Saccharomyces cerevisiae S288C: one gene and its partners. The main gene of each other region encodes a partner of the protein of the gene in region 4 in a complex. Each region holds a gene or a part of one and is shown on either strand. Other genes may lie near its edges. A codon is read from its position in the direction of its gene.

Region 1 (5,354 bases), on a different chromosome or scaffold from region 4:
TAAAAAGTAGTATAACCAGAAAAAGGAATCCCCATAAAAGGAAATTCATGATACGGTCATTGTTTCTTCATTTGTTTAATACGTTGTATTCGAGTGTTCTAGCCAATAAACGATTCAACTAAAACACTTCTGGTTCGCTTTTAGGGATATCGTTGAAATGAAATCACTCCATGATAGTTTAAGTGTTACAGACATTAAGAGAAGTCGGCTGCAAATTTCCATGCAGACACTTTGTCCCTTCTTGGAGGATACCCTACAGTGTAAAAGCCTCCTTAGCTTAGTGGTAGAGCGTTGCACTTGTAATGCAAAGGTCGTTAGTTCAATTCTGACAGGTGGCAAAATTTTTTCCCTAAAGTTAACACTTATTTAGCTTCTTTTTATATAAAAAATCCATGAGAATTGATTCTGCATTTTAGTTTAAATTTTTTCTTTAAGACTATGATGCTTTCATGCACAAGGTTATATTGTTCTCCTTCTCTATAGTTATTGCAAGGAAATCATATATAACGAAACACAATTTGATCCTTTTGAACCTACATTATCCCGCACTCTTGACGTATCATCAAATAAAGCTAAACTGCGGAAGCCTAAAAATACTAAGCACGCTATTTGTCATCCATTAGCAGGCCAAAAGCAAACTAATCTATGTTTTCAATAAGGCCAATATAATAATGGATAATTTTGAAAGTACTGCTGAAGGAAATTTAAGTATAGGAAACAAACGAGTATACGAACTACGAAAAAGAAACTTCCAAAGAAATTTGGTGAATAATTTGAGCTTTCTCGGGTATGTTTTAATATCATTGGAATATATCAAGTATGATCGTACCGTCTGGACACTTATAACAAGAGCAATAGTGCAATCTCTCATAAGTTCTCCTTTTCCAAGTGATGCCAAGTTACGTAGGCTAGCGACCCTCGGTGCAGATAATAACACGACGGGGGTTGCAACACTTCCAGGCGGAAGATCTATCAGGTTTCCCGGAATGTTTGGAACAGAAATGCTTTATAATTCTTCTAGTGAAGCTGAGCAACAAGACCATGATGATACCGCTATTGTGTCCATGAAAAAGCAAATCCGGAAGTTTTTATTTCATGGTTGCTTATCGTTGAATATGCTTTTCATTATCTTAACAATCCTATTCCCAATTGATTTTTTTGAACCCCTGAGTGGTAGCGAGCCAGTAGACGATGGCCCTAAGAATACTCCCTCACCCTTTTCCAATTCAGATGGTCTACTTTTGGGTGAGAGAAGAGGTGGGCTTTTTCTACAGATGATCGGAGAACGGCTACCAAAGAGCAACTTTTCCGGCAATCTTGGATTAGTAATGTTCGAATTTAGCATACTTATTGTACAGTTTACTTTATTTTCACTAACATGTGTTGTATTGGCAGATTTAGATTTTGAAGAGCCAGAAAGACTAGAACCTGTAAATAGTGATGGCTACGATGGCTCTGTAATAGTTGCACGAATACCATTAAATAAAACCATGAATGCCATTTTAAATGACGGCAATATTAATGACAACAATGAGAATGCTAGCAATTCTGTCTAATAGTATATATATGTAGTCCATAAGGGGTAATGCATATTACTGTTATCGGCACTATTTTATAGAGAGTTACATTTACATATATCATTCTATTACATTTCCTTATCTATGACGATTCATGGGTTTGTATTTTTTTGGTAGGATTTGCCAATTCTACTAATACTAGAAGAAAAGATTATACAAAGATAAAGACCCTGAGGTTAAGTATTTAATATTTTTCTCAAACTGTGTTTTTTTTATTAGTATGCAAAGTAGGATCATTGGGTAATTGGACAGTTTTTCAAATACTCAGCCTTATTCTTTAAAATCCTGACGGATTTGAAAAAAATTTCTTCTGGTGTCATGGCACCAGCGCTTTCTACGTTGAAAATAAAGTGGTTCCTCACTCTTCCTAATTTAACTTTATCAGCAAACTCTTCGTATCTTAAAACCTCCCTGGAAACCGTATCCTTCCTAGCATCTTTGACATACGCTTCATCTGAACCTTCATCAATACCAATAACACCTGGGGGAAAACATTTTTGAAATCTTCTGGCACTTTCACCTTTGATTGGCTGTAAGATATTGATTTGAGGTAATAATCTATAAGAAGCGGTGGAAACTGGTGAAAATTTAGCATGATCACCACCGATACCTAAAATGCAATGTGCCTTCAACGAAATTTCTTGACCAGGCCTTAGCTTAGCTAATAAAATATCAGGATCAGCTGGAACAACCGGACAATCAGCAAAAGTGGTAGATTGTCTGCCCTGTGGTTCAAACTTCAAATCACGGGCGTAGACATGGGCATTGTTATATAGTTCCTTTGGATCAGTAGATCCCTTTGGAGCATCTGGATTTCTTGTGCACTTCACGTTCAAACTCAAAACGATAGTATTTTCATCCGTAAACTTTTCATCGTCCGGCAAATTACTATCAACCCATGTGAGCATATCAGGGTCAACTTTTAATGGAACCAAGCCTATTCTATGAGCCAAAACCTCATCTTGGATAACGGATGTATTGTTAAAAAAATAGACGTATTCAGCAGCCACGGATGGAACCTCGGAAATCATTATACGACGAAAGGCATTCGCAATCGATGTGTCAATGTTTATCAAGTCGAAATTTGCCTCTCTTGCGTCTAATGACGAAATATTGACTTCGAAGTCCTTTTTGAATTTTTCCACATTCCACTCGTTTTCTGCATCCTTCGAGAAACCAGGAAAATCCGTGGAGGTTGTATTCGTTACACGGTTATATTCAATACCCACAATATTTGACATATCTTCTTTCACCTACTTACTTTCATGCACTTGATACCTGCTCTTCTACATAATATGAGTGAAATTTTTTCTTTCAACTCATCGCAATAATTTTTTCACAAAATTTTTGTGAATCCAAGTCACTATAAACGGAATTAATAAATATTTGCAACATAAAGCACAATGTATTGTAGCAGAAGACAAACGACAAGTATGGGATAATGCAACATCTCTTTCTAATTAATATAAAATCAAGAATAAGCATGTCTTCTGACTAATTTTTATATACAAACACCAAGATCATAAATTTTTGTCTTTGAATGGATAATTAACCCATACACCTCATACAAGATTTTGAGAGTAAACACAAATCAATGGACCTGTAGTCGGCTAGATCACAGATCATGATGAACTGTATTGTCGCAACAAACTTGTAACTCCAATAGTGATTAGCAACCCAGAATATCGTATTCAACAATAATTCGGTAGTCATGTTTTCACGAAGTGATCGAGAGGTAGATGATTTGGCTGGTAATATGAGTCATTTAGGGTTCTATGATTTGAATATTCCTAAACCTACTTCTCCACAGGCGCAATATAGGCCTGCTAGAAAGAGCGAAAATGGAAGATTAACTCCCGGACTTCCAAGATCATATAAGCCGTGTGATTCAGATGATCAAGATACCTTCAAAAATCGCATTTCATTGAATCACTCACCGAAGAAGCTACCCAAGGATTTTCACGAGCGTGCTTCCCAAAGTAAAACCCAGAGAGTTGTTAATGTATGCCAACTTTACTTTCTCGACTATTACTGTGACATGTTTGATTATGTTATTAGCAGAAGACAACGTACGAAGCAGGTGCTAAGATATCTTGAACAGCAAAGAAGTGTCAAAAACGTTTCTAATAAGGTTTTAAATGAAGAATGGGCTTTGTATTTGCAAAGAGAACACGAAGTACTGAGAAAAAGGAGGTTGAAACCTAAGCACAAGGATTTTCAGATACTGACACAAGTTGGACAGGGTGGTTATGGGCAAGTTTATCTTGCAAAAAAAAAAGACAGTGATGAAATTTGTGCTTTGAAAATATTAAACAAGAAACTTTTATTCAAACTAAACGAGACGAATCACGTCCTTACTGAGAGGGACATACTAACCACAACTAGATCTGACTGGCTTGTGAAGTTGCTTTATGCATTTCAGGATCCAGAGAGCCTATATTTAGCAATGGAATTTGTACCTGGTGGTGATTTTCGCACATTGTTAATAAATACAAGGATATTGAAGAGCGGTCACGCAAGGTTCTATATCAGCGAAATGTTTTGTGCCGTGAACGCGTTGCATGAACTTGGTTACACTCACCGGGATTTAAAGCCGGAGAATTTCTTGATTGATGCTACAGGGCATATCAAGCTGACCGATTTTGGTCTAGCAGCAGGGACCGTATCAAATGAAAGAATCGAAAGCATGAAAATACGCTTAGAAGAAGTAAAGAATTTGGAATTTCCTGCTTTCACAGAAAGGTCTATCGAGGATAGAAGGAAAATATATCATAACATGAGGAAGACAGAAATTAATTACGCTAACTCTATGGTCGGTTCGCCTGATTATATGGCCCTAGAAGTTCTGGAAGGTAAAAAATACGATTTTACAGTGGATTATTGGTCATTAGGCTGTATGCTTTTTGAAAGTTTGGTTGGATATACACCTTTTAGTGGTTCTTCTACTAATGAAACTTACGAGAATTTAAGATATTGGAAAAAAACTTTAAGAAGGCCCCGTACTGAGGATAGAAGAGCAGCATTCTCAGATAGAACCTGGGATTTAATTACAAGACTAATAGCTGACCCCATCAACAGAGTACGATCTTTTGAGCAAGTTCGCAAAATGTCTTATTTCGCAGAGATCAATTTTGAAACCCTAAGAACAAGTTCTCCACCATTTATTCCTCAATTAGATGATGAAACGGATGCAGGTTATTTCGATGACTTCACAAATGAAGAAGATATGGCTAAATATGCAGATGTCTTCAAAAGACAGAACAAATTATCTGCAATGGTCGATGACTCTGCCGTTGATTCCAAGCTTGTTGGATTTACTTTTAGGCATAGAGATGGAAAACAAGGTTCAAGCGGGATACTTTACAATGGTTCAGAACATTCAGACCCTTTTTCAACTTTTTATTAAGATTACGTCCCTACAATTTAATTTTGTATAGCATAACAGATACATTGACAACAGCAACAAGATGTGCTAACATTTTCCATTTTGAATGATTACCAAAATTATGAAACCAAGGCAACATGTAATTTTTAAGTTTAGTAATCTTTTTCGGGATGAGATGTTTTGAAGAGTTTTATGCTATTAAAGTAGTAATATGATTTATATATTCAAATAAAATGTAAATTATGAAAGAAAAATACGATAAGCTGATAGGGTAAACTAGAAACCTTCGTTTTCTTCATCATCCACATCCAGTTTCTTTCTACCGCCCCCATTTCTTAAGGCAGCCATCTCATTAGTGGCAACTTGCTTTCTAACCTTCTTTGTCATCCTGG
Region 2 (4,670 bases), on a different chromosome or scaffold from region 4:
ATGCTTCTTTTTTCTATTACCATATATAGAAAATAGGTGTATACTATTAGTTTAATGTAATAAGCAGGACTATGACAAACCAAAGAGTGAAAGTAGCCGTTTCCACGTTTTAACGGCTTGTGTACACTTTGACAGTCAATCAGCGTAGTGACTTCTTTTATCAGCGGAAACAACCATATCCATAAAAGAAACGTGATGGTCGTTCCCGTAGTTTATTAAGTAAGATGACAAATTATCCTTCTTTAGTCAATTGAAAACAAAACTTCTTAATCTGTTTCCAATGTTTTAAAGTCGCTCATATGTTCATGACTACTTTTCCATGAGAGGGTTCTACGAAAAGCATCATCTTATTTTCGCAACGCTGCGGGTTTAGGCCTTTCCGCTGGTCTCTTTTCTGTTTACAGTTCTGCCCGAATGTAAACAAATACTTTGCGAAAAGTAAATAATGTATTCTGAAAAAAAAAAAGAGAACTGTGAACAATGCTTGATAGTTGTAGGAATATCTTAGAAGAAAGGGGATAGATTATCTGGAAAATCGTTTGAATAAAATAAGAACCAGTAATTCATTCGTTTAAATTGGAAAAACAAAACATAAAAGAACCAGCAATGTCTTGGTTGCCTGTTAATGTAAAAAGTTCTCCCAAAAGATGACAGGAAACTCGTTAACTCATACTCGGTATATAAGAGGAAACTTATCTAATGTTTCATTCATTCTTCCTCTTCTGCTTATTCGATGTCTATTGAAAAACTTCAAGTAAACCAGCAATATCGACTTCCATTAAGTAGACAGCGAGCCTGAAACAAAGAATATACTGTTTCAATTCCAACTAAAGCCACTCCCTCAAGCGTTATTATTTTTTGAATTATATTTTCGGGTTTTAAGCTAACTCTAGTCATTCCTTACTACATTTTATTGTAACTCTTCAGTAGAGCTAACCACAGTCATTCCTTAATATTTTTTAACACAGATCTCTTTCACAGAGTAGAAATAAAGCCACTCCTTTAACAAATTACAAAGAAATGAAATTTAATTTTTCTACAATTTTCAATATCTTATTCTTTTTATTCACCTTAATTGAAGCCAACAGCAATGGGGAAACAGTCAAACTTATTACTTCTGATGGTATTGTTTACAGTTATGCTGTCTACACAAAGACTCTTGCGCCGGCAAGGGTTGTGGTTAAAACGATTTCATATACTACTACAAGGGTATATCCGATTACTTTAGCTAATTCCGTCGTTTCTTCCACTACTGAAAAGATAACAGAGGTTTCAACGGTGTCAGCTTCAGAACAAGTTAGTGCTACTCAAACAAACTCATTGGTTTCTACTTCTACTGTTTCCACTATCAGTCCAACGATTTCATCTGGTTCTTCAACATCCTCTAGCTCTACATACGATATCGAATCATCTCAAAGTATCGAATCGTCAGGTACATCTTCCGCTACAGCCGAACCATCTGCGTCTTCAGGTTTTCGTTTGACTTCTAGTTCTGCTTTTGTTTCATCTACTGCACCTTTCTCTTCCCAACTTTCTTCATCTTCATCTTCTGAAACATCATCCTCATCATTTTCAACATCATCATCATCTGCCCCTCTTTCCTTAACTTCTTCTTCTTCTTCTTCTTCTTCTTTCGCCACTATTATTACCTTGGCACCATCGAGCTCAAAAAGCGGAAACTCTCAACTAACTTTGGCGTCATCGTCTTCCACTTCCGCAGTTGAGTCATCCCAAACAGGGTCCACTATAGCAAGAACTACCTCTACACTGGTACCCTCTTCTAGCGTAGATACAACGTCTAGAGCAACGACATCCATGCCATTAGAATCGTCTTCTACGCAATCGATATCCGTCTCCAGCTCGGATGGCACTTGTTACGTTTTTTATGATGATGATGACTACTATAGTACTGTCTACTTAACTAACCCGTCTCAATCCGTTGATGCCGCCACCACTATAACTAGTACAAACACAATTTATGCTACGGTTACCATTTAGCGCTTAGGCATAATGGTGGTGCATTCTTTTCTATTTGTTTTCTCAGGCGTATTTTTTCCATTATTTTTTGTTAAAAATAGTAAAAAGACAGTATTATTTATTCATTTTTCCTCGTGTTGTTATAACGACTAAGTTTCCTAATTTCTTTATTTTGTTTTTTTCTCATGATCTTTTCATTTTGTAGTTTCAACTATTATATACAATGTGTATACTATAACTTAATTTTATTAGTTACCTCTTACTAAGGATACTGATTCTTCCCCACTCATTTCATGAATTCATCACAAGTCTTTAGTATTTTTCATATGGAAATTACATCACCTATATATATCAAAATGTTCCGGCGAGTACATTGTCAGAATCTACAGTTTTTCCTGATATGAGCAGTGATATGGAGAAAGAGACACTAAATAAGAACAAAATATTGCCGTAGATTTAATGATTCAATCATGTGTGTCAAATTTGTTCTCCATTGCATCTTCCTATTTGACATTTGTCTCATGACCACGACATTGTACATTACCAGGTAAGGCTACAATTAGCCTCACCGATGTAACGTTATATAACGCTGCGGTCGTAGAATATGATTTTTCTGAATTTTAATTTTTTTTTTTTTTTTTTTCATTTCTTTAACATCTAAAATAGATTTTAGAATCAGAAAAGTGAAGAGTATTCCACATCATCGACTTATTCTACCAACATTTAATAAGAACGTACCCAAGAATAAAAGTCCACAAGTATAACAATGTCTCGCGAAGGGTTCCAGATTCCAACAAATTTAGACGCCGCAGCTGCAGGTACTTCTCAAGCTAGAACGGCAACTTTGAAGTATATTTGTGCTGAATGTTCTAGTAAATTATCTTTATCCAGAACTGATGCAGTCCGTTGTAAGGACTGTGGTCATAGAATCCTGTTGAAGGCTAGGACTAAGAGATTGGTTCAATTTGAAGCTAGATGAATGGAGAGACTGAAAACCATAATGGGTTACCGGGGCAGAATAATACGAAATAAAGAACCTAGGTTTTCCAAGGTTTTTGCAATATATAAACTTGTGCTTGATTTAAGTTTATGCAGCACTTTTCTTCCAGCAAATTCTTTATGTTTTTTTAAGGGAAAACGTATATCACTTAGAGATTATATTAATGAAAAAAGGTGTATACAAATGTATAATAATAATAGTATATAAGAAAAGTATTCGCTATTTATAGTGATTTTAGTTTGTACAATGTACTGTATTTTTTTTAAATGTAGTATTTTATATATATGTTACATTAGTTCGAACTGAAAAGGAACTTATGAATTAAATCATCACAATTCTTGGTTCTTCCGTAAAGCTGAATTGCCGGACGGTTATTCCCGCATTCTTCAAGACCTTGAAACTTTCCTCGTCCATTCTATAACTTTGGCTATAAACTACTTCACTGATGCCTGTTTGAACAATCTTTACAGAACATGTTAAGCAAGGGCAAGTATCACAGTATAAGGTCGCATTTTGACCTACACGATCCCTGCCAGCTTCCAGTAGTGCATTCTCTTCTGCATGTAAGCATAAGCAAGTGTGCAGATTTCTAGAATCACCGTCATTGCAACGTGGGCAACCGCCATTGAAACAATTTGTTAAATGTCGAGGAGTCCCATTATAGCCAGTAGCAATCACTCTGCATTCTCTCACAATCACGCAACCAACTCTACGTTTCATGCAATTGGAACGAGATGCTGCTAGTGTGGCTAACTTCATAAAATAGCTATCCCAACTAGGCCTCATTAATGGAGCCATTTGTTTCTCTTTGTCATCGAGAATCTTTAATTGTGTGGTAATGTTATTAATCAAGCTCTGTCTCCTTCCTCTGCGGTCCTCATTAACTATTTTAAATCTCAAATGGGATTTCTCCCTTAATTTGATGCCTTCAGGCTGAAAGTCATGTTGATCAATGGCTTGTATTATTTGTTCTAATGATAAGCTTTCTGCTTGAGTCGTTTTCCTGTATAATGCTACCCTTGTAGTGACAGGAGCGTCGATAGAAAGATGAACAAAAAATGGTCTCTTTTCCAGTTTCTCCAGTAATGATAATTTTTCTAGGAATATAACTGAATTTTTTGTGTAATTTTTCGTAGCATAATCTAATATCTCCTCTGGATTATCTAGGTGATTGAGTAATTCAAAATGAAAATGATCAACCAACATGTTAATAACATCTTCGCATCCGCAAAATTTCGTACCACTTACACCAATTAACATAATCGTGTTATATTGATTAGTGTAGCATTCACACCTTTAATGTGCCAAAAAAAGATGTTGAATTCTATGGTAATGCAGAAGTTTCAATTCTCGAGATTGCCTACATCATCTCATAACTGCGTACCGCGCGTTCTTGCAAAGAACAAAAAAGTGAAAAAATTATAATGGGGCGAGCTGGGAATTGAACCCAGGGCCTCTCGCATGCTTTGTCTTCCTGTTTAGGCAGGAAGTCGCCCAAAGCGAGAATCATACCACTAGACCACACGCCCATGTATCTGTTGGTGTTCTAAATAAAGAATTAAACTATGTAGGCATAAAAAGAGACGGGAGCATCTTAAAGATGCAACTGGATGGAGAATGGCAAAATATGAAGAAGAAGGAAGGAAAAGAAATATTATTATGCGTAACTGTTGATTCCTTTTTGTGGATTTCT
Region 3 (5,165 bases), on a different chromosome or scaffold from region 4:
CGATTCAAGCTCGCCATCTAAAGAAGTTAAAAATTATTACCAAAGCCCTGTAAGAGGTTATTTGAGACCAACAAAAGCGTCTATTTCGCCTAATAAAAATAAAAATTTAACAACGTCGCAAACGCCACATCGTTTGAAAATTAAAGAGAAAACATTAAGAAAACTTTCTCCGAATATTGCTGACATCTCCAAGCCAGAGTCTCGTAAATCCAAAAATTATCGGCTTACAAACCTTCAATTACTTCCACCAGCAGAGGCAGAACGAGATGACTTAAAAAAAAAGTTTGATAAAAGGTTATCAGGAATTATGAGGTCTCAACAGGAACATCATCGGCGTAAACAAGAGAAACAAAAAAGGATGTCGCATTTGGAACAAGATCTAAAAAAGCAAACAAGCTTTAGTAATGACTACAAGGACATACGTCTAAAAGAATCTTTGGCTCCTTTCGATAATCATGTGCGAGATACCATCAACAAAAATACTGCATTTAGTACCGACAATATATTGGCCACAATAAATACAGTTGACCATCGAGAAATAATCGGAAATGTGACCCCAAAGATAGCCTCTGTCAATGATTCTTTACCAGAGATAAATACTGATTCTGAAGATGAGGCTAGCGTAACTTTAGCGGCATGGGCTAAATCCCCGTATTTGCAAGAGCAATTGATAAGACAGCAAGATATAAATCCACAAACTATCTTTGGACCAATTCCGCCTTTGCACACCGATGAAATTTTCCCAAATCCTAGGCTAAACAGGTTGAAACCGCGTCAAATTGTGCCCAAAAGGTCTTGAATTCGATTACCCCAGAAAAGAAAAATTCAAACTGGTTAACATTAAATCAAGTACACTTTAAATACTCTGGTATTCCCCCTGCATTACGTATATCGTTCACTTTCTTTACTTTTCCTTCTTGCTTTGTTATTTCTATCTACAACTTTGCGTTACATATTTTTAACTATTTGACACTTCACACAGATCTTCTTTCTAAGGCTTTTTGCTTATCCCACTTGGAAATCCACCCTTCACTTTCTACCTTTGGCACAATATATATTTTCAAAGCGTTATCGAACAATGGTACATCTGGCGACTCTTTCTTCAAGATATCGTGAAATGTCAGTTTCTTACCAGCTTTAATCAAACCACCTGCCTTTGTTTCCATGAACACCAACACTTTCTTTGGTGTGAAGTTTTCCTTACCTTCTTTTTTGAAGCGTTCTTGCGGCCCTTCCAAAACTAGGTCAACAAGTTCTTGCACAGTAGTTAACTCACTTACTTCACCTACAAAATCAAATTCATCTTGCGTGGGGTACATAATTAATGCGGGATAGATCAATTGAGATTCAAAATCCATTGGGTCTTCTAGCCTTATTTTACCCTCATTAAGTAACTCTACTGGAGAGTGAGTTTTGATGTTAGTTATGTTTCTCAGCGTCATTGCGCTCTCTAACATAATTTTCTTGTTTTCACGTTCCTGAGCTTCTCTTTGCTGTTTTTCTTCTTTTGCTTTCAATTCTTGTTCTTTTCTATCAATCACTGATAACATATTCAAAATTGATTTGTTCTCTGGGTCAATCCTTTGATTGGCAAATGTTGCGGCTGATTTGGCCTCCTCCAACTTGTTTAATTGGAAAAAAGCCTTGCTTGTACGATAGTAGCACTTAACATTCTTGGGGTTAATAGTTAGAGCTTTACTGCAGTCCTCGATACACCTCCTGTAATTTTTCAGCTCTAACTCACATGCCGCTCTATTGGCATATAGTGACTCATTTATTGATTTATCTTCGCATTCTACAGCCAAGCCCTTTGAGTAAAGTTCCCTTGCATCCTTGAATCTTTTTGCTTTGTATAGTTCGTTACCTTGCTTCTTGAAATTTTCAGCGATTTCGTGTGGTTCGCCTTCATAAGCTAATGCCTTTAAAGCTTCTAACTCCACGTTTTCACCACCTGCACCGTCTGTTTCATCCAACTTGGTCATGAAAAAAGGCATTCTGTTCATTTCTTTCAAGATTTCATCCGATGTTTTATCTTTAAATTCGGATAGTTGGGGTGGAAGTTCAGGATCACCTGGCCCTGGCACATATTTTTGTGGTTTGGTATATCCTCCATTTGCGTTAACGGAGCTCATTCTAGATGCAAAACCAATTTATTCTTTTCTTTTACTTGCTAGAATGTAGTGCTCAAGACCTCACTTTTAATTCAATGCTGCTTTTGAATTTAAGCTCATCGCTCTGAAAAGTGCCGGAAATTACACATATTCTTTTTTTCTTTCTTTTTTTTCCACCTTTTTCCTCACTGCGTTAAGAAAGAGATGAGGTGAAGTTATTTTGTTCTGTGTACTATAATCACACATTACACAGTTTTCTGTGAAACTGTACAAGGTGCCTAAACAGAGATACGAACGCATACGCTTTTAGTATTTAAGTCTTTAAGCTCATTATCCGCACAAGTAAACTTGAGAACACAGACTCTCTACATATAAAGTGCCAGATATCTTGGTAATGCTCGGTAGGTGGATTAACGTACTCTTATCATCAACCGAGACTAGAAACCGTATCAATAATTTATTTTATATAGAGCAGAGCATCTGATCGCTAGTTAATATGCAAGCATTTAAAATTAAAGTGGCAATGTATTGTTGTTGTCCTCTATTCGACTCCTAACGGAGGCCTTTTTTTAGCAATGGCTGACCGCGGAAGGAAAAATTTTTCTTTTCTCTTGAAAAATTTTCAATCATATATATTATTCAAAACGACGCAATTCGGTGAGGAAGATTACAAACGTTGCTAACAAGGGTCAACAGATCACGAGCCAATTTGAATTCAAATTAAATTAGTAGGGGATTTACAAAATTTGTGCGCAGGTGGATATTACTAATAAGCTAAGACAATGGACCAAGAAAATGAAAGAAACATCTCAAGATTATGGAGAGCATTCAGAACAGTAAAAGAAATGGTTAAGGACAGGGGTTATTTTATCACTCAAGAGGAAGTCGAATTGCCATTGGAAGATTTCAAGGCCAAGTATTGTGACTCCATGGGCAGACCACAACGTAAAATGATGTCCTTCCAGGCAAATCCAACAGAAGAATCTATATCAAAGTTCCCAGACATGGGCTCCTTATGGGTAGAATTTTGTGATGAGCCTTCCGTTGGTGTAAAGACAATGAAGACTTTTGTTATACATATTCAAGAAAAAAATTTCCAAACAGGTATCTTTGTTTACCAAAATAATATTACACCAAGTGCAATGAAATTGGTGCCTTCTATACCACCAGCCACCATTGAAACTTTTAATGAAGCTGCCTTAGTGGTTAATATTACTCACCACGAATTGGTTCCAAAGCATATCAGATTGAGTAGTGATGAGAAAAGAGAGCTTTTAAAAAGGTATAGATTGAAGGAATCCCAATTGCCAAGAATTCAAAGAGCTGATCCTGTAGCCTTATACTTGGGATTGAAAAGAGGCGAAGTAGTTAAAATCATAAGAAAAAGTGAAACCTCTGGTCGTTATGCCAGTTACAGAATCTGTATGTAGAGTGGCATTTGGATTTACCCCTTTCATATAATATAAAATAACAAGAATATGTACAATTAGAAATAAATAATCTGCAATAAACCAATCACTAGTATGAAAATTTGAAAGGCGCGTTTTTTTCACTAATTTCAGAAAGAAATTACACAGAAGGTGGAGTTCTAACACTATTAGTCATCGGCCAGTCTCGCACAAAGCACCACATCGGTAATGCCCTTCCACCATGACATATCCTTTAAATTTACTGTTTGGGGTGGGCTAACTTCGGTGCCTGAGCTACCCAGAAATGTTGATCCAATAGTTATTATAAGACTGTTGACAATATCGCTCCTCAGCAACAACTGATTTATTACATTGGCACCTCCTTCAACCATTACTGACCTTATATTGAATTCTTCTTTTAATATCTCAAACAATTTCTTCCAATCGACCAATTTCGTAGTATCATTTATTGGACAAATTGCGTAGTCTACATGTTGTTCTTTTATAATGGGCTCACTTGTGACAACAACGATTGGCGGCTTACCCTGTCGTTTAATAAAAAGTTCTTGCATTTTTGAACCATCAAATCGCCACTTTTGCTTTGTATCTATTATTATTGGCCTTGGGGAATTTGCAGCCGGATCGGGACCCCATTTACAATTCAATCCAGGATTATCAGCTAGCACTGTTCCACTTCCTACGAGTATTCCATCGTGATGATGTCTCAAATAATGCGTCATTGTTTTGGTCTCGGGATGTGAAATTGTAGTCCTCACTCCAGGGCCCCTAGATACTCTCGCGTCGAGCGATTGAGCATAAGTTAGTGTGACAAAGGGCACAATGGTATTTTCCGTTTGACCAGCATTCGGTAGATAGTTTTGCAGAAATTGTGGTAAATCTTCACACAGTGGTGTCAAAGACATATCTTCTAAAAATGTTGATAGTAATACAAAGAAGCTACCAATAGGTTGGTACTGTATTTCTGCTAGATTGTTTCATCGTATCCAAAGCCAGATGTAATGGTTCTGCGAAAAAATTTGATATCTTCATCTTTGCCTCTTTTTTCTGTTTCGGGATTTTCCCGACATCAACTAACTGAAAGGCATGTGGGTTTGTGTGTGTGATGCGGTGTTATATAACCGAATATTCAGTTTCTTCGTAATCTCTACTATTCTTGCCTAGGTCACCAAATTCAACATTTTTAGTTCTTGTAATCTTGTAACGGTTGTTATTGTGAGATTTTTCTACTTTTTCAGCCGATCTTTGTTTTTTGTGATCAAGTTTCTCTTTCTCCTTGTCCAAGATAACGTCGTATTTGGTATTCCCATCTTTGCCTTTTTGCATCGCTTCAAATCGTTTTGCCTCATATTCTTCTGATTCTCTTTGTTTCGCAAGTTGTATTCTTCTATGCTTTTGCTTTCGTTCGTTCTGCCTTTCAAACCATTTCTGTCTCTCCTTTTCTGAATCGACTTCATCGTTATCATCTAAGAGCAAGCACTGCTTGATCAATTCTTCGTTGGTGCTGTAATTGGTGTTAAGTCTCAGCTTCATCGTTTCGTAGTTCTTTGCCACTTGATTAGCTTTGTCGATGTTTTTTATCATATTTTCCTTCTTTGTTTGCAGAACTCGTGCGTCATCTTGGGCA
Region 4 (7,851 bases):
TTGGTTAGGAAATGGAAAAAACAACTTCATGATTCTCCAAGCTTAAAATTACTAAGGAACATAATCAGTGCTTTCAAGGTTGCTGTAAATTTGAACAAGGAAGAAAACATCGAAGACTATAAATATGCTATCACTGATGAGAAAGCATTCCACGAATTGATGTTCATGGTCTTGAAAGATGTACCACAAGCGATTCAAAAGATGGCCCCATACAAGATTGTAAAAGGCGCAAGGACCTTACCAAATGGAGGTAACGTCTCCAGGGTCTCGTCCATTGTCAAGTCGCATGCTGGCTCTTTGTTGATTTTATTGAATGATATTACTAATACGGAAACAGCAGCATTAGTTCTTCATTCTGTCAACGAATTGATGCCTTATCTTTTATCATACAGAAGGATCTTAAAGGAGCTTATTAAATCAATTGTTGGAGTATGGTCTACAACGAGAGAATTAGAAACCCAGATTGCTTCTTTTGCCTTTTTGATCAATACCACCAAAGAGTTCAAGAAGTCTATGCTAGAAACAACCTTAAAAACAACGTACTCCACTTTTATCAAAAGTTGTCGTAAAACGAATATGCGTTCTATGCCACTGATTAATTTTCAAAAAAATTCGGCAGCTGAATTGTTCGGTATCGATGAAGTTCTAGGTTACCAAGTTGGATTTGAGTATATTAGGCAATTGGCAATTCATTTAAGAAATACAATGAACGCGACAACTAAAAAATCCAGTAAAATTAATTCCGCAGAAGCTTACAAGATTGTATACAACTGGCAATTCTGTCACTCCTTGGATTTCTGGTCTCGTGTACTATCGTTTGCTTGTCAACCAGAAAAGGAAAATGGCAGTGAATCTCCTTTACGACAATTAATTTACCCATTGGTTCAGGTTACTTTGGGTGTAATCAGATTAATCCCAACACCACAATTCTTCCCATTAAGATTTTATTTGATTAAATCACTTATTAGACTTTCTCAAAATAGTGGTGTTTTTATTCCAATATATCCTTTACTTTCTGAAATTTTAACCTCAACGGCTTTCACTAAGGCACCCAAAAAGAGCCCTAACTTGGCTGCTTTCGATTTTGAGCACAACATCAAATGTACGCAAGCTTATCTGAATACAAAAATATACCAAGAGGGTTTGTCAGAACAGTTTGTGGACTTATTGGGCGATTATTTTGCTCTGTACTGTAAAAACATTGCATTTCCTGAACTTGTAACACCGGTTATTATCTCTTTACGCCGTTACATCAAGACTTCAACTAATGTCAAACTTAACAAACGTTTATCAACTGTTGTAGAAAAATTGAACCAAAACAGCACATTCATCCAAGAAAAGAGATCAGATGTTGAATTTGGGCCAACAAACAAATCTGAAGTTTCAAGATTTTTGAATGATGTAGCTTGGAATAAAACACCTTTAGGTTCTTATGTTGCAGTACAACGTGAAGTTAAGGAAGAAAAGGCCAGATTAATGAGAGAAAGTATGGAAGAACAAGACAAAGAAAGAGAAACAGAAGAAGCAAAATTATTAAACAGTCTGGAAAGTGATGATGACAACGAAGATGTTGAAATGTCAGACGCTTAACAACTCAGCAAGATTTGATTTTTTGTCTTGAATTCAATAGTTAAGTCTATAAATGTGTAAAATAAAGAAAAGTCTTTTTTAAAGCGTATATATCATTGTGCTCACATGTGCTAACATGTGAGCACTCCAAGCTTTCTCTTGTCAGCTGGATATTTTTATATTTTGGCCGGTTTATGGATAGAAAACACGTCAAACGTTCGATGGATCTTATAAAAAGTAATGATGTAAAGCAAGGTACAAAAATGAAAGAAGTACGGTTTACTGTTATATAATTTTCGAAATCGTTCAACTCTCTTAAAGTTCCTCACGAAATAGATATGATTGCTAACATAACGCAAAATTTAGTACAAGATATATGATTTCTTACTGCTGGAAGATATCTTCCAATCTTAATCTTGGGGCTATGTTCATGGATAATAATTCCTGGAATAACAGTTTTGCTGCATATGGAATAGTCATCTTAATAATATTCTCAGCACTTTTGCAGGTAGTACACCAACCACTATAGCCCATTAATCCACATTTATCGCAGACATCAACTTCAAAAGCATCTGAACTAATCATCAACCTTTCTAACAGCAATTGTGAAGCACCATACGCGATTACACAATCCCTCTCCATCTCACCCAACCTCAGACCACCATCTCTAGATCTACCCTCAGTTGGTTGACGTGTCAAAACAGCCCTTGGACCACGAGCTCTTGCATGCATCTTATCTAAGACCATATGCTTTAACTTTTGATAGTAAATGGGGCCAAAAAAGATGTAAGCCTGTAAACACTCACCTGTTATACCTGAATATAACATATCCTTACCGGAATAGTTGAAACCTTGGTCTACCAAAATCTTAGACATATCTTCAAGTTTAGAACCACCAAAACAAGTACCATATTCCAATGTACCATTCAATACACCAGCTTTACCCGATATCAGTTCGATCATTTTACCCACAGTCATACGAGATGGAAAACCGTGAGGGTTCATGATAATGTCTGGAACTATACCTTGATCGTTGAAGGGCATGTCTTCTTGCTTTACAATAATACCACAAACACCTTTTTGACCATGTCTAGAAGAAAATTTGTCACCTAATTCTGGCCTTCTGTTTTGTCTTAGCAAAACTTTGATTAAAGCTTGATCGTTATCCGAAACAGACATCATAACTTGGTCAATGTGAGAAGGTTCTGGACCTCTATATATTACCGGAGCTTCCCTATATTGAGTTTGGACGTTTACGTTGTTTGGGTTTGGGGCGTCTGCTGAGTTAGTTGGAACTGACTTATTTATATAAATTTGTCCACTTTGGACCTTCATACCCACCTCACCTAGACCATCAGGACCAAGAGATTGATGTTGCCAGATAGGATCTCCATTTTCATCAACTCTCATACCACCGATGATATCTTGGGTATGGTTCGCATATCTTTTCAAAACAGTGGTTGTCTTTCTACGTGTTTCGCAACGGCCGAAACCTCTATCGATGGATGACTTATTCAAAACCAAAGCATCTTCAATATCATAACCAGAATAGGACATGACAGCAACCGTAGCATTTTGACCAGCAGGTAATTTATCATAATCGATCAATTCAATTGTTTTGGTTTTCACCATTGGCTGTTGTGGATAAGTCATCAAGTATAATAATGTATCTATTCTCTTGAATTGATTGTAGGCGATTGCACCAATCGCTTGCTTACCCATCGCACATTGATATGTGTTACGAGGGGATTGGTTATGATGTGGATATGGAATTAAACCAGCAACAGCACCTAAAATTGTGAATGGCTCGATTTCTAAATGTGTCATCGAGGGAACTATATCTTTTTCATACAATGCAATGTAAGAATCGTTTTCTTCATTGACATCTAAATATTCCACCAATCCGAGTTTCAAAAAATCATCGAAATCTAACTCACCATCTAATAATTTGCGTAAATGAATATCTTTCACGCGAGATTGACCATCAGAAACAATGATTAATGGCCTACAAATTCTACCACCATCTGTTGCAATATGAACTGCCATTTGGTGAGAATTTGAATAAATTGAGATAAACTCCGACACTTTACCTGTTCTTCTCAGATGTCTGAACTGAGTAACGAATTTTGTTGGGAATCTGATTGAACCAATTAAAGTACCATTCAAATAAACACCATAGTTTAAATGCAAGGATGCACTGTCAATCAATGTTATGTCTTCTACACCAAGAACATAACATAATTTCTTTATAGGTTCCTCTTCGTCATCTGTAGTAATATGAGTCATTAATGCTAAATTTTTCACTAGACCACACGCCTCACCTTCTGGAGTATCTGCAGTACAAAGCATACCAAATTGAGAAGGTTGTAATGCTCTTGGACCGGAAACTTTTCTTGATTTTTCAAACTGAGAAGAAATTCTTGTCATCATACCCAATGCGGAAATATAAGATAGTCTGGAAAGAACATGTGTAACACCCGCTCTTTCCATCTTAAATCTTTTAAGAGACCAATTACCGGTTGAGATAGCTCTGTTCAGTCCGCTGGTGATGTTATTTGAATGGACGTTAATTGACAATAATGCATCGTATTCCATAGCCCTATTTGGTTTTTTCAAGACCTTATCAATGCTTAGTTTAAAATCATTATTAAACTTTTTGAACAAATCTTCGAACAATAAAGAAATCAATTGGCCTGCTAATTCAAGACGTTTATTACCAACATAATCTCTATCATCAATCATCTTAGGGTTATACATTGCCATCACCACCCTGCGCGTCATCATGGCAATATATAAAGCCTTTTCTCTAAAGTCAAGGGCTTCCACAGTCAAATGTGCAATAACCGTGGTAGCAATGGCCTCTATACCCTCTTGCAGGATAGTCAGTTTTTGCCTTCTCATTGTCTTTACTTTTGCACCAATATACTCTAAAGCTTGCTGTTGTGTGTAAATATCTAATTTCGAAGATTCTTCCAAATTGACTGCAAAAATATCTTGGTAGCTACTATCATTACCGCAAACCAATTGCATAATTTCTAAATCTGATAAAATACCACAGGCTTTGAGAACAATAGCAATAGGAATTTCTTCAGCGATGGAATTGTGCTTCAAATAGATCTTGCCATTTTTGGTAATGACATAAGTCTTAGATTTTCTTTCATGGGTAGATGAAGTAACGGAGGCCTGAACAATGCCTTTCTTCTCATCTGCCTCCACAATAATACGATTCTTGGATAATTGTTCTTGAACAAGAATTACTTTTTCGGTACCGTTAACAATAAAGTAACCACCAGGATCCAACGGACACTCGTTTAATTTAGCCATTTTCGATTCATCAGCATCATATAGGATACATTTATTAGATCTCAGCATGATCGGCATCCTACCAATTTCCACGTCTTTATGCATAATAATGTTTCTACCTCTAGTGTATTCTATATCCACGTAGATTGGTGCAGAGTATGTCATATCTCTAAGCCTACACTCATGAGGCGGAGTCAAATAATCTTTTGTCGAAGAAGAGGACTTCTTACCCACTCTAATATCGACGTACTTCAGGTAGAATTCTGGATCAACATCACTCAAAATTAATTGATTTGCCTTTATAATTTTTTTTAAATCTGTATCAACGAAGTAGTTAAATGAGTCAAGATGTTGCTTCACCAAACCTTTAACCTTCAAGAATGCTGGTAAAAGGTGCCACTTATCCTGAGCAGTATTGATTTCATCAGTTAGTTTCTTACCTTTATATACTGGTTTCAATAAATCATCAAAAGCCTCGTCTTTCACATGCTTATGTATATGAGTTTTCCGTCTTTTTGTCGCAGCAACCATTTTTCAACAAGCACTAAGTCCCTAGCGATTAAAACGCTCAATTATCAACACTTTAAACTCCCTTTAATTCTTTCCTAACTTGTCCATATATCATCACTTAAGCATAGATCGAAAAATTTTCAGCTCATCTCACAATTACAATTTCGTCCGACGTGATCTGGAAAATACGCGCCTGCTTTATGGAACTATTTATATCTTTATGTGTAGTACACCTAACAATAAGGAATATATAAAAATAATGCACCTATTAAAACCTTTGGGAAGTGCCAACTTTGAATCATCATCTTTCTTTGAACACCGCGCTGCGACCTTTGACAAGAAAGACGAGATCACTCAACCTGACAGACCCGATTCCCCTGGTTCCCCTCTTCCGCTTTGCACAGCCCTTTTCGCTTAGTTTGGAAGCCTAGGTCCGATCCCCAGTGCTATTAATAGTTTACAATAAAATAGGATCGACGTTGCTATTGATGGATCGCATAGCACAGCAATATCGTAATGGCAAAAGAGACAATAACGGCAATAGAATGGCTTCTTCCGCTATATCGGAAAAGGGCCACATACAAGTCAATCAAACTAGAACACCTGGTCAAATGCCCGTCTATAGAGGTGAAACTATAAATCTGTCTAACCTTCCCCAAAATCAAATTAAACCGTGCAAAGATTTGGACGACGTTAACATACGGCGGAACAACTCTAATAGGCATTCTAAAATACTTTTACTAGATCTGTGCGCTGGCCCCAATACCAACTCATTTTTAGGCAATACCAATGCTAAGGATATCACAGTTTTATCGTTGCCGCTACCCAGCACTTTGGTGAAAAGGTCGAACTACCCGTTCGAGAACTTACTAAAGAATTACCTTGGATCTGATGAAAAGTATATTGAGTTCACAAAGATCATCAAAGATTATGATATTTTCATTTTCAGTGATTCGTTTAGCAGAATTTCGAGTTGTTTAAAGACAACTTTTTGCCTCATTGAGAAGTTTAAAAAGTTCATCTGCCATTTTTTTCCATCTCCTTATTTGAAATTCTTTCTTCTCGAAGGCTCTCTGAATGATAGCAAGGCCCCCTCATTAGGAAAAAATAAGAAAAATTGCATCTTGCCCAAATTGGATTTGAACTTGAATGTAAACTTAACTTCAAGGTCAACTTTAAATTTAAGAATAAACATACCTCCACCCAATGATTCAAATAAAATATTTTTACAGTCTCTGAAAAAGGATCTAATTCATTATTCTCCTAATTCTTTGCAAAAGTTTTTCCAATTCAATATGCCTGCTGACTTAGCACCTAACGACACGATTTTACCGAATTGGCTAAAATTCTGCTCCGTAAAAGAAAATGAAAAGGTAATATTAAAGAAACTCTTTAACAATTTTGAAACTTTAGAAAATTTTGAAATGCAAAGATTAGAGAAATGCCTGAAATTCAAGAAAAAGCCTTTACATCAAAAGCAGCTATCACAAAAGCAGAGGGGTCCGCAATCCACGGATGATTCAAAATTATATTCTTTAACTAGTTTGCAACGACAGTATAAAAGTTCTTTGAAAAGCAACATACAGAAAAATCAAAAGCTAAAATTAATTATACCAAAAAACAACACATCTTCTTCGCCATCACCATTATCTTCCGATGATACTATAATGTCACCAATAAATGATTACGAACTTACTGAAGGAATTCAGTCTTTTACTAAGAATAGATATTCTAATATCTTACCTTACGAACATTCAAGAGTAAAGTTACCTCACTCCCCGAAACCACCTGCAGTTTCTGAAGCATCCACAACCGAAACTAAAACAGATAAGTCATATCCGATGTGTCCCGTAGATGCAAAAAACCACTCCTGCAAACCGAACGACTATATCAATGCGAACTATTTGAAGCTCACGCAAATTAATCCTGATTTCAAGTATATTGCTACCCAAGCTCCGCTTCCTTCTACGATGGATGATTTTTGGAAGGTTATTACTTTAAATAAAGTTAAAGTAATAATATCATTGAATTCTGACGATGAATTGAATTTAAGAAAATGGGATATTTACTGGAATAATCTGTCATATTCCAACCACACTATCAAACTTCAGAACACCTGGGAGAATATTTGCAATATTAATGGCTGTGTTCTCAGAGTCTTTCAAGTCAAGAAAACAGCTCCACAAAATGATAATATCAGTCAAGATTGTGACCTTCCGCATAATGGTGACCTTACTTCCATTACCATGGCTGTATCCGAGCCGTTTATTGTTTACCAATTACAATACAAGAATTGGTTAGATTCATGCGGCGTAGATATGAATGACATCATTAAACTACACAAAGTCAAAAATTCGTTATTGTTTAACCCGCAAAGTTTTATTACAAGCCTCGAAAAGGATGTTTGCAAGCCTGATTTGATAGATGATAATAATAGTGAGTTACATCTCGATACAGCAAATTCATCGC

The links.
Region 1: the proteins of RET1 (region 4) and RPC40 are in contact, whole or in part, in a cryo-EM structure (PDB 7Z0H), measured with the Saccharomyces cerevisiae proteins. Residues at the interface, in NP_014850.1 of Saccharomyces cerevisiae: Phe718 (codon at 3,252), Thr729 (codon at 3,219), Tyr730 (codon at 3,216), Lys775 (codon at 3,081), Ser776 (codon at 3,078), Asp779 (codon at 3,069), Arg780 (codon at 3,066), Gly781 (codon at 3,063), Arg784 (codon at 3,054), Glu786 (codon at 3,048), Arg788 (codon at 3,042), Arg901 (codon at 2,703), Asn903 (codon at 2,697), Arg905 (codon at 2,691), Lys927 (codon at 2,625), Gln928 (codon at 2,622), Glu929 (codon at 2,619), Asp930 (codon at 2,616), Phe933 (codon at 2,607), Asn934 (codon at 2,604), Asp935 (codon at 2,601), Gln936 (codon at 2,598), Gly937 (codon at 2,595), Val992 (codon at 2,430), Gly995 (codon at 2,421), Phe996 (codon at 2,418), Asn997 (codon at 2,415), Tyr998 (codon at 2,412), Lys1001 (codon at 2,403), Asp1002 (codon at 2,400); in NP_015435.1 of Saccharomyces cerevisiae: Val5 (codon at 2,806), Ile7 (codon at 2,800), Glu8 (codon at 2,797), Tyr9 (codon at 2,794), Asn10 (codon at 2,791), Arg11 (codon at 2,788), Val12 (codon at 2,785), Thr15 (codon at 2,776), Thr16 (codon at 2,773), Ser17 (codon at 2,770), Thr61 (codon at 2,638), Ser62 (codon at 2,635), Asn65 (codon at 2,626), Arg68 (codon at 2,617), Arg69 (codon at 2,614), Ile72 (codon at 2,605), Ser73 (codon at 2,602), Val91 (codon at 2,548), Gln93 (codon at 2,542), Asp94 (codon at 2,539), Glu95 (codon at 2,536), Val96 (codon at 2,533), His99 (codon at 2,524), Arg100 (codon at 2,521), Leu103 (codon at 2,512), Gly214 (codon at 2,179), Asp215 (codon at 2,176), His216 (codon at 2,173), Ala217 (codon at 2,170), Thr224 (codon at 2,149).
Region 2: RET1 (region 4) and RPC10 share a complex: the UniProt entries of both Saccharomyces cerevisiae proteins name them as parts of the RNA polymerase III (Pol III) complex.
Region 3: RET1 (region 4) and RPB5 share a complex: the UniProt entries of both Saccharomyces cerevisiae proteins name them as parts of the RNA polymerase III (Pol III) complex.

What each region holds. Positions count from the first base shown.
Region 1 is NC_001148.4:744,018-749,371, forward strand, and holds RPC40 (DNA-directed RNA polymerase core subunit RPC40), read right to left. Parts: upstream 2,819-5,354; coding exon 1,811-2,818; downstream 1-1,810. Other genes in the region: GLD1 (Gld1p), read left to right, coding at 672-1,556; serine/threonine-protein kinase DBF20, read left to right, coding at 3,289-4,983; RNA-binding ribosome biosynthesis protein MRD1, read right to left, coding at 5,239-5,354. UniProt on the Saccharomyces cerevisiae protein: DNA-dependent RNA polymerases catalyze the transcription of DNA into RNA using the four ribonucleoside triphosphates as substrates.
Region 2 is NC_001140.6:384,490-389,159, forward strand, and holds RPC10 (DNA-directed RNA polymerase core subunit RPC10), read left to right. Parts: upstream 1-2,743; coding exon 2,744-2,956; downstream 2,957-4,670. Other genes in the region: DSE2 (Dse2p), read left to right, coding at 1,021-1,998; DCD1 (deoxycytidine monophosphate deaminase), read right to left, coding at 3,299-4,237. UniProt on the Saccharomyces cerevisiae protein: DNA-dependent RNA polymerases catalyze the transcription of DNA into RNA using the four ribonucleoside triphosphates as substrates.
Region 3 is NC_001134.8:546,738-551,902, reverse strand, and holds RPB5 (DNA-directed RNA polymerase core subunit RPB5), read left to right. Parts: upstream 1-2,893; coding exon 2,894-3,541; downstream 3,542-5,165. Other genes in the region: SLI15 (Sli15p), read left to right, coding at 1-799; HSP70/90 family co-chaperone CNS1, read right to left, coding at 975-2,132; RIB7 (2,5-diamino-6-(ribosylamino)-4(3H)-pyrimidinone 5'-phosphate reductase), read right to left, coding at 3,709-4,443; U4/U6-U5 snRNP complex subunit SPP381, read right to left, coding at 4,652-5,165. UniProt on the Saccharomyces cerevisiae protein: DNA-dependent RNA polymerases catalyze the transcription of DNA into RNA using the four ribonucleoside triphosphates as substrates.
Region 4 is NC_001147.6:728,055-735,905, forward strand, and holds RET1 (DNA-directed RNA polymerase III core subunit RET1), read right to left. Parts: upstream 5,404-7,851; coding exon 1,954-5,403; downstream 1-1,953. Other genes in the region: mRNA-binding ribosome synthesis protein NOC2, read left to right, coding at 1-1,590; tyrosine protein phosphatase PTP2, read left to right, coding at 5,871-7,851. UniProt on the Saccharomyces cerevisiae protein: DNA-dependent RNA polymerase catalyzes the transcription of DNA into RNA using the four ribonucleoside triphosphates as substrates. Second largest core component of RNA polymerase III which synthesizes small RNAs, such as 5S rRNA and tRNAs.